2 linked regions of the Danio rerio genome follow. Each later gene encodes a partner of the first gene's protein in a complex. Links are inferred from orthologs where the notes say so. Each region holds a gene or a part of one and is shown in the gene's direction. Other genes may lie near its edges.

Region 1 (3,833 bases):
ATTGCCATTTAAAATACAAAATAACAGTAATTTAAGGTCTTAAATTGACATTTAAAACGCATAAAGTGCAGTTTTTCCTATTTTTAACCCTTTTTCATTTCTAGTTTGTAATCGACATAGCGTTTGTGCAGACTGATATATGCATCTATACAATAGTAAATACAGAATATTTCTTCTTTTTTTCTTTACTGGAGAACCATTTAATAACTACTTAAGTTGCTTTAAACCCTGCAAATTCTCCAGACTTTTTCCTGACTCACCCATGCATCTCCATTCTGTCTAAAAATACAAACTCTCTGTTGTGTTATGCAACCGGTGTGTATTTAAGGCTGTCTTGAATAGACTGAATGCTGGGTTTTCTGTTCACCCACACACTGGAAGATGGGTAGATATTTGTGGGGCAGAGTTCAAATTAGACATGGGAAAAATGTCCAGATGTTTTCAGAATTTGGGGAACTGTCAACTCCGTTCGTTATGCCAGTCATACTTGCTATTATTATACTGTATGTGGAAATAGGCTTTTTTTTCATGATTATTTCAGCATGAGTTGTATTGCTGGTCTTGCACTTGGGGAGAAATTCTATAATATTATAATTGCAGATAAAACTATAAAGTTGTGGAAGATCAGTGAGCGGGACAAGAGACCAGAGGGATACAATCTGAAAGAAGAGGATGGACGCTATAGAGATGCTTCTACCATCACAACTCTACGGGTGAGTTACGAGTACAAAATTTTAAATAAAGGTGTAAATCGTGACCGAAATGTAGAGATGGACCGAATGACCAGCTGACAACTGGAATTAGCTGTTATTTTGCATAATCAGCCTGACTGTTGAGCAGACGGTCCATAATGTTAATGGCGGTGCAGGCAATGACATCAGAGACATTCATTCTAACATTTTGACCAGTTACCCATTAACTGACAGAATTTGACAGATTAATACTGTCAGCTTTCAAATATTGTCTTTTTTAAAGCATTTGCTGAGTATTTGTAAAGCATTTGCTAAATGAGTGATAAATACTACTGTTCTACTCATTGCCTTCAGAGGGAGAAAAAAAACAATTATGTTTAAGTTTTTAGTAAGTGCTTCATTAGAACAATATTGAAAATATCAGAAAATAAGTATCTATAAAATAGTAGAGCAAAAGAATACATACAAATATTAATCAACATATTACATATGCATATTTAATCTTTGGACTTTTGTTTAATGAAATGTAAAAAAGTTTCGTTTACAAAGAGTGGAAATAAAACTTTTTTTTTTTGTCGAGCATATTAGAGAAAACTGGTGTATTTGGGTTTTTGATAATGTTTTTTTTTTTTTTTTTTTTTTTTAGTAATGTGTTAATTTTTATAATGTGTTAATTTTGCAATATGCAATAAAACTGTTTTTGTTTGTGTATACTGTGAATTATAGTACTTAGAAGAAGAAGAAAAAAACGATGGAATCAGCAAAAATCTGTACTAACAAATTAATTACAAAAGTCACACTTACCAAAAAAATTGTAAAGAAAATTGCGTTTGGTGCATCTCTACTGAAATGATTTGGGCTCATCCACTTGACCAATTACAAAGGTAGTCGAAAAACAAATTTGATTGAATTACTTTCATAGTCTAAACATTTGTTATTGAATGCATTCAGACATCCAGCCAGTGTTGCCAACTATTTCCAATGAAAAGTAGCTAAATGTTGCCAGATGACATCACACACTAATTTGCATATAAGTGACGTCATCGCATAATATCTGACAAGCGTAAGCCCGTCATGTCTCTACTCTCTGTGGTGCCGTGTATTATACTATATTAAAACATTACATCCAGATGCACAATAAATAGGTTTTTATTAACATATTACTTTGCGTAACTCAAAACTACATCTTCATGTAGTATACAAAATAATTAATGTTTTCTCAAGTTGACTGGCCATCTCAGCAAAAACATTATTCAAAATATGTCCATTTAGATTTGTATTAAAAGTAAAAGTAATACAAACACTTTTTGATAATAATTGTATATTTTCATCTGTAAAACTGCTAATAAATAGTTACATTCTTTTAAACAATCACAGCTTGTGTACTAACTCTTTTTAACTTGTGAAATTAAAATATTTGACAATATTGTGAAAGTGACAACAATTATAGCACTATTGGAATTTATTACTACCTAAATTACTAACAATTATACATGTTAACAAATATCAGTGAATGAGCAGTTATGAAAAACAATCTGAGCTAGCAACTTACTCTTTTAAAATTGCTAAAGGTAGCCAAATGAATGTTAAAAATTGCTAAATTTGTTGCTAGGTGCTTTTTTGAAAAAAAGTTGCTAGGGTAATATGACTACTATTACTAGGGTAATAAGTTGCTAAAGGTAGCAACAAAATTGCTAAGTTGGCAACACTGCATCCAGTACATGATTATTCTGTAATATTAGATCAAAGTATTGATAAATGCAAGCTTTAAAATATCACTTATTTAAAATAGAAGGCTTTAGCAAGATTAAAATTGTCATTAATCTCACTTTTGATCTGTTTATTTCATCTTTGTAAAATTTATGTGTTAATTTTCAATCAATGTGACACTTGACCACAAAACCAATCATAAGGCTCAATTTTTTGAAAATAAGCTTTATCATATAAATACTATTATAAATAAGCTTTTCATTGATGTGTGGTGTGACATACTGTTTGATGTACAACTATTTTTTAGAAATGTATATTACTAACTAACAATCATGTTTTATTTATTGGTGGAAGGAAATTTAGAGAAATTTACTCATAATTTTTGGGATCAAATTAAAATCAGATCATTTTGAGCCCTACTGTGTATTTTTGGATATTCCCAAAAATATACCCATGCAACATAACACTAGGTTTGTGGTGCATGGTCTCAAATAACCAAAGCAGTAGTGCATTTTGCAATGTTTTTGCAGCAGTTCTACATCTTGCATCTTTCTATGACAGAAAAATGTAGGAGTCACATGCTCATCTGCCTATTTCAACAATTAAGCGAGTGAACGGTTTGTGCAGGTGCCAGTATTTAGGCCTATGGATCTCATGGTGGAGGCCAGTCCGCGAAGGGTCTTTGCCAACGCTCACACCTACCACATCAACTCCATCTCGGTCAACAGCGACAATGAGACCTATCTGTCTGCAGACGACCTGCGCATTAACTTGTGGCACTTGGAGATCACAGACCGCAGCTTCAGTATCCTACAAAATACAGCAGATAAAGGAGAATTCCTGTGGTTTAAAATGTTGTGTTTTATTGATGTGGCTTTTGATGTCGGTTCAACAGTGTTATGTGGCTTTAACTCTTGTGTCAGACATTGTGGACATTAAACCAGCCAACATGGAGGACCTAACGGAGGTTATCACAGCCGCAGAGTTTCACCCTCACCAATGTAACACGTTTGTCTACAGCAGCAGCAAAGGCACCATCCGCCTGTGTGACATGCGTGCATCAGCACTTTGTGACAAGCACTCTAAATGTGAGTTATAGGAGCAGACCACGTCATCTACACTACTGAATCAAGTACTGGATTTAGTGTTTTGTAAAATCCGCACTGCTGAAAGCAACTTTTTAGAATAATGCCCTTTGGGCTGTGTGTTTTCCCTCTTATTATAAATATAAACTAAAATGACAGCAGTTAGGAAATACTGTAATAATAGCAGTGTGCTTGTGCTTGAGCTCTGCAATTTGACACAAGTGAAATCAGGCCGTGTTTATTTTTATATTTGTATGTAACAATAGTCAAGCTGAAAAAATGACACACCACCCACTGAGATATATATATATATGAGGGTATCAGTCGATAGAGATTTTTACAGTAT
Region 2 (3,633 bases), on another chromosome or scaffold:
GATACATGATTATTTTATAGAGCATTTCAATGTGTTCATGTCCTTATCAAACTATTACTGTAACAAGAGGCGATTTAATCATACATTAAAACAGCTCTCACGACATTATTTATCAATGTGTGGATCTTTTTAGATTCTCAAAGGCTATAGGAATAAATATGTGAAACAGAAAATACATTGGGACAATTGTTTTTGTTTACATCCCTCAAAATGGTCTATATGGACGTTGTTTTTTTTAATGAACAACAATTTAATCGCCCCTTTAAAAACAGGAGCTTAACACAACAACAGGGTGCTGATTTATGACTGATAGTAAATAATAATGCTTTCATTTTCATTTATCTGTGTGAGCTACTTCAAACAAAGCATTGCAGAATAAATTGTGCGGTAGTCATGGCTGTAATCGTTTATATATAGATAAACAGTCTTACGTCACAGCCTGCTCTTCCTGTCAGGTTTGTTTATGACCCACATCTTAATGCAGGCAGACTCACAAACCAACACGCACGGATTATTCATTTAAGAACCAGACATACACACGCAAAACGAAAGCATCGACGTGATCTTAATCTTCAATTGAGGGTAAAATCTCCCACACTGTTCGTGAGTAGCTGCTAACTGTTTCTTCAAACAAAACATTGCCCTTCCCCCCACGGGCAGCTCCATTCACATTTGCCCAGACACCGCAGTGGATTTGCACAATAGAGTCATGTGACACGACTGTAGCAGACAAACCATTACATCAGTCGAGGAAGTCAGTTGAAAAAAATTAAAGGGGAAGTAGCCTTCTTTCCCTTTTACCAGAAAACACAACGATACACTATGCGGAAACCGTGTGATGGTTATTATGTAGCGATGGATATATCTGAAATGTTAATATTTTGAAACAAAACATATTACATAAAGGGATAATTCTGGAAAACAACGTTAAATGTAAATCATGTTTTGGTATACGTGTATAGGGTCACATTTGGCTTGTTTTAGCTTCTGTTTACTTGTGAAAACGGTGTTGTGTTTCAAATATAGTTTATTTTTAACTTTCTAAACAAATACAGCCTGAAAAACACTGAGAAATATAAAAATATCCGTCTATTTTAGCTTGAAAACAATTCTTTCCCTTTAAGCAGTTCTCCCACGTTAGTATTTAAATATGACTCATAGCTGAAGCGCCCTTTCATTGGCTATCGCCTGTTTGGCGGGGTGTGATTCACAACTGTGGCAGAGCGCAACTCGCAACGCGATTGGCTAGTGTAGCCGCTGACGCCGGAGTATAAATGCGAGTTAAAAATAGAAACGGTCTCATTCCTCCCTAGACCATTGTTGGGTGCTGAAGAGAATGTGTGAGGTAATAAAATCTCCTACACTCACCCAATAACAAGATCTTGTATTTTGTATATGAGAATGAAGCCAACAAAACACGGGATTTGATCTACAGGAGGAACGGAAAAGCACTTGGACGTTGTTGTTTACTAACGGCTTTCGCGTTAACGTTTTGAAGAGAGAGGAAATCAAAGGCGAAACGCCCGGCGAACTTTGCACCGTTTGTGAACTTTAAACGTATCGATTCCAGCTATGGAATACAAAGTGGAGGCCCATCGGATTATGAGTATCTCCTTAGGGAAGATCTACAACTCACGCGTTCAGCGAGGCGGCATTAAACTGCATAAAAACCTACTGGTTTCACTGGTCCTCCGAAGCGCGCGCCAGGTCTATCTGAGTGACTACTACAGCGGCGCGTGCCTGAACGCTCAGAGTGAACGCGAAGGGAACGAGTGGGACATCACCGACTCCGAGCGGGAGAAATTCCCTCCCTCTACAACGGAATGTGACCGAGTAGAGAGCCCTGAGGAACCTCAACTCACCGAACAGCCCGAGGCGAGCGAGAAAGAGCGGGAATATCGCGAAAACGACGCTGAGAAATCAGAACGAGTGGATTGTACTTCCACTTCTGAGCAAGAAAGCAACCAAAACTCTTCTTTAGACTCGGTTTCAACGGAAACCACTACGGAGAGTCCCTCAGACACTACAGTAGCGGAACGCGACTCAACGCCTGTGGTGGTGAACGGGGAATCACATCAACCACCCAAAACGCATGTTTGTTCTTCAAACAGGAAAAGAAGCGCAGAGGAGTCAGAAAGTGGCGATGCGCCTCAAAAAAGGACCAAAGTTGCTTCCTCAAACACGAAGGAAGACGAGGAAGAAGCCGAGGAGATGGACACGGGGAACGTCTCCAACCTCATAACAATATTTGGTTCCAGTTTCTCAGGACTTCTCAGCAAAGATGGCACCAAACCTGAGGCCGAGGCAGAGGAAAGCGGTCAAATCTGCTGCGACCAAATGTTGAAAAACCTAAACCCATGGAGTACAGCAATTGTAGCTTTCTAACTGTATCGTACTGTACTTCTCATAACACGTGGTCAGGCCTGGGCTTCAACAACGTACTATGGGGGACTTCCCAGAAAGCATGCGTGGTGGTGCCACCAGAAGCACAAGCTCGTTTTGGCCTGGACTTGCCTTTCTTCTAGTGAAGGAACTATTTGAATGCTGGTGCTACTCTTTGGGATTAACAGTTCTTGAAGTGTTGAACTCTCAAAAGCCATGTGAGCGAATGGTATTACAACAATATGCAAACGTGTCATGAAGGGTCAATATTACATTGTCGCTGAAACAATTCAGGGTCGATCAACTTGACTGTACGAGGGTCAGGCCACTGTTTTTAACGTCTTTGTTTTATAAAGACCTGTACATTTTGTAATATCCGAGTGTGTGTATATATTGTCGCCAATGTCGCATTCTGAATCTATGTATTTTGGTATCATGACAATTTACGTGGAGCTCACGTATTAAAAAAATGTGAAATTACCATATTGTTTCTGTCCTTTATGTTCATGAATATTCAAAACTAATGTAATGATGTCAGCTTTTAATTTATATTTAAATATAAAAAAATTCCAGCTTAGGGGTAGGCCGATAATTGATGATATATCAAATCGTGATAAAATTTACATCAGTAACCGATAAACTCTGGACTTTTTTACTCTATATTGATCTAAGAGCCAATCACACAGCAGAAACGTCCTACAATGGGAATCTAAAATTGAGATGTACCAAATTTTTGGCCACCGAATATTTATCGGACGAAAATGTTATGCAATTTGGACCTTCTAATTGTTGTGGCTTCTGTCATTGTTTTAAATCTGCAAGTATTACCAACTTCTATCAAAATATATATCTCGTTATCGTTAAATATGGAAAATAATTGTCAAGATTACATTTTTGCCATATCGCCCAGCCCTACTCCAGGTTCCCACTGAACAAAGCTTAATATAATTTTGTATCCATCACCTGCAGATCTAACAGATAATCTAATCTTTTGGGGTTAATTTGAATCTAACAACTATAAATTGAGGATTAGTACGAAAATGTCAACCACTGCTTCCCCAAACAAACTAATTTAGCTGGATCAACAAGTTTGAGAAGAACAAGAATGTTCAGCTGCTGTTCCTCTCTGTGATACTTCCAAGCCATTTTTACAGCGTGTTGTAAAGAGCGCTATTGTGCCCCTGAAGCATGTGTGGTATGCAGGGTTGAGTTTCAGCGCAGACTGCAGTCTCTTCTCTCAGGGCCTGTGTT

The links.
Region 2: the proteins of ppp2r2ab (region 1) and ier5 are in contact, whole or in part, in a cryo-EM structure (PDB 8UO5), measured with the Homo sapiens proteins. The link is inferred for Danio rerio from reciprocal best matches to the Homo sapiens genes PPP2R2A and IER5. Residues at the interface, in NP_002708.1 of Homo sapiens: Glu91, Ile92, Glu93, Glu94, Asp116, Tyr178, His179, Asp197, Leu198, Met222, Leu225, Thr226, Glu227, Val228, Thr230, Ser247, Phe280, Phe281, Glu283, Ile284, Ser287, Cys334, Tyr337, Glu338, Asn339, Asp340, Phe343, Lys345; in NP_057629.2 of Homo sapiens: Ala7, Arg9, Ile10, Ile13, Ser14, Lys17, Arg25, Gly26, Lys29, Leu30, His31, Lys32, Leu34, Leu35, Val36, Leu38, Val39, Leu40, Arg41.

What each region holds. Positions count from the first base shown.
Region 1 is NC_133185.1:23,765,515-23,769,347, forward strand, and holds part of ppp2r2ab (serine/threonine-protein phosphatase 2A 55 kDa regulatory subunit B alpha isoform), read left to right. Parts: intron 1-600; coding exon 601-713; intron 714-3,029; coding exon 3,030-3,207; intron 3,208-3,325; coding exon 3,326-3,490; intron 3,491-3,833. UniProt on the Homo sapiens protein: Substrate-recognition subunit of protein phosphatase 2A (PP2A) that plays a key role in cell cycle by controlling mitosis entry and exit. Involved in chromosome clustering during late mitosis by mediating dephosphorylation of MKI67.
Region 2 is NC_133197.1:16,200,684-16,204,316, forward strand, and holds ier5 (immediate early response gene 5 protein), read left to right. Parts: upstream 1-1,378; 5' UTR 1,379-1,572; coding exon 1,573-2,385; 3' UTR 2,386-2,862; downstream 2,863-3,633. UniProt on the Homo sapiens protein: Plays a role as a transcription factor. Mediates positive transcriptional regulation of several chaperone genes during the heat shock response in a HSF1-dependent manner. Mediates negative transcriptional regulation of CDC25B expression.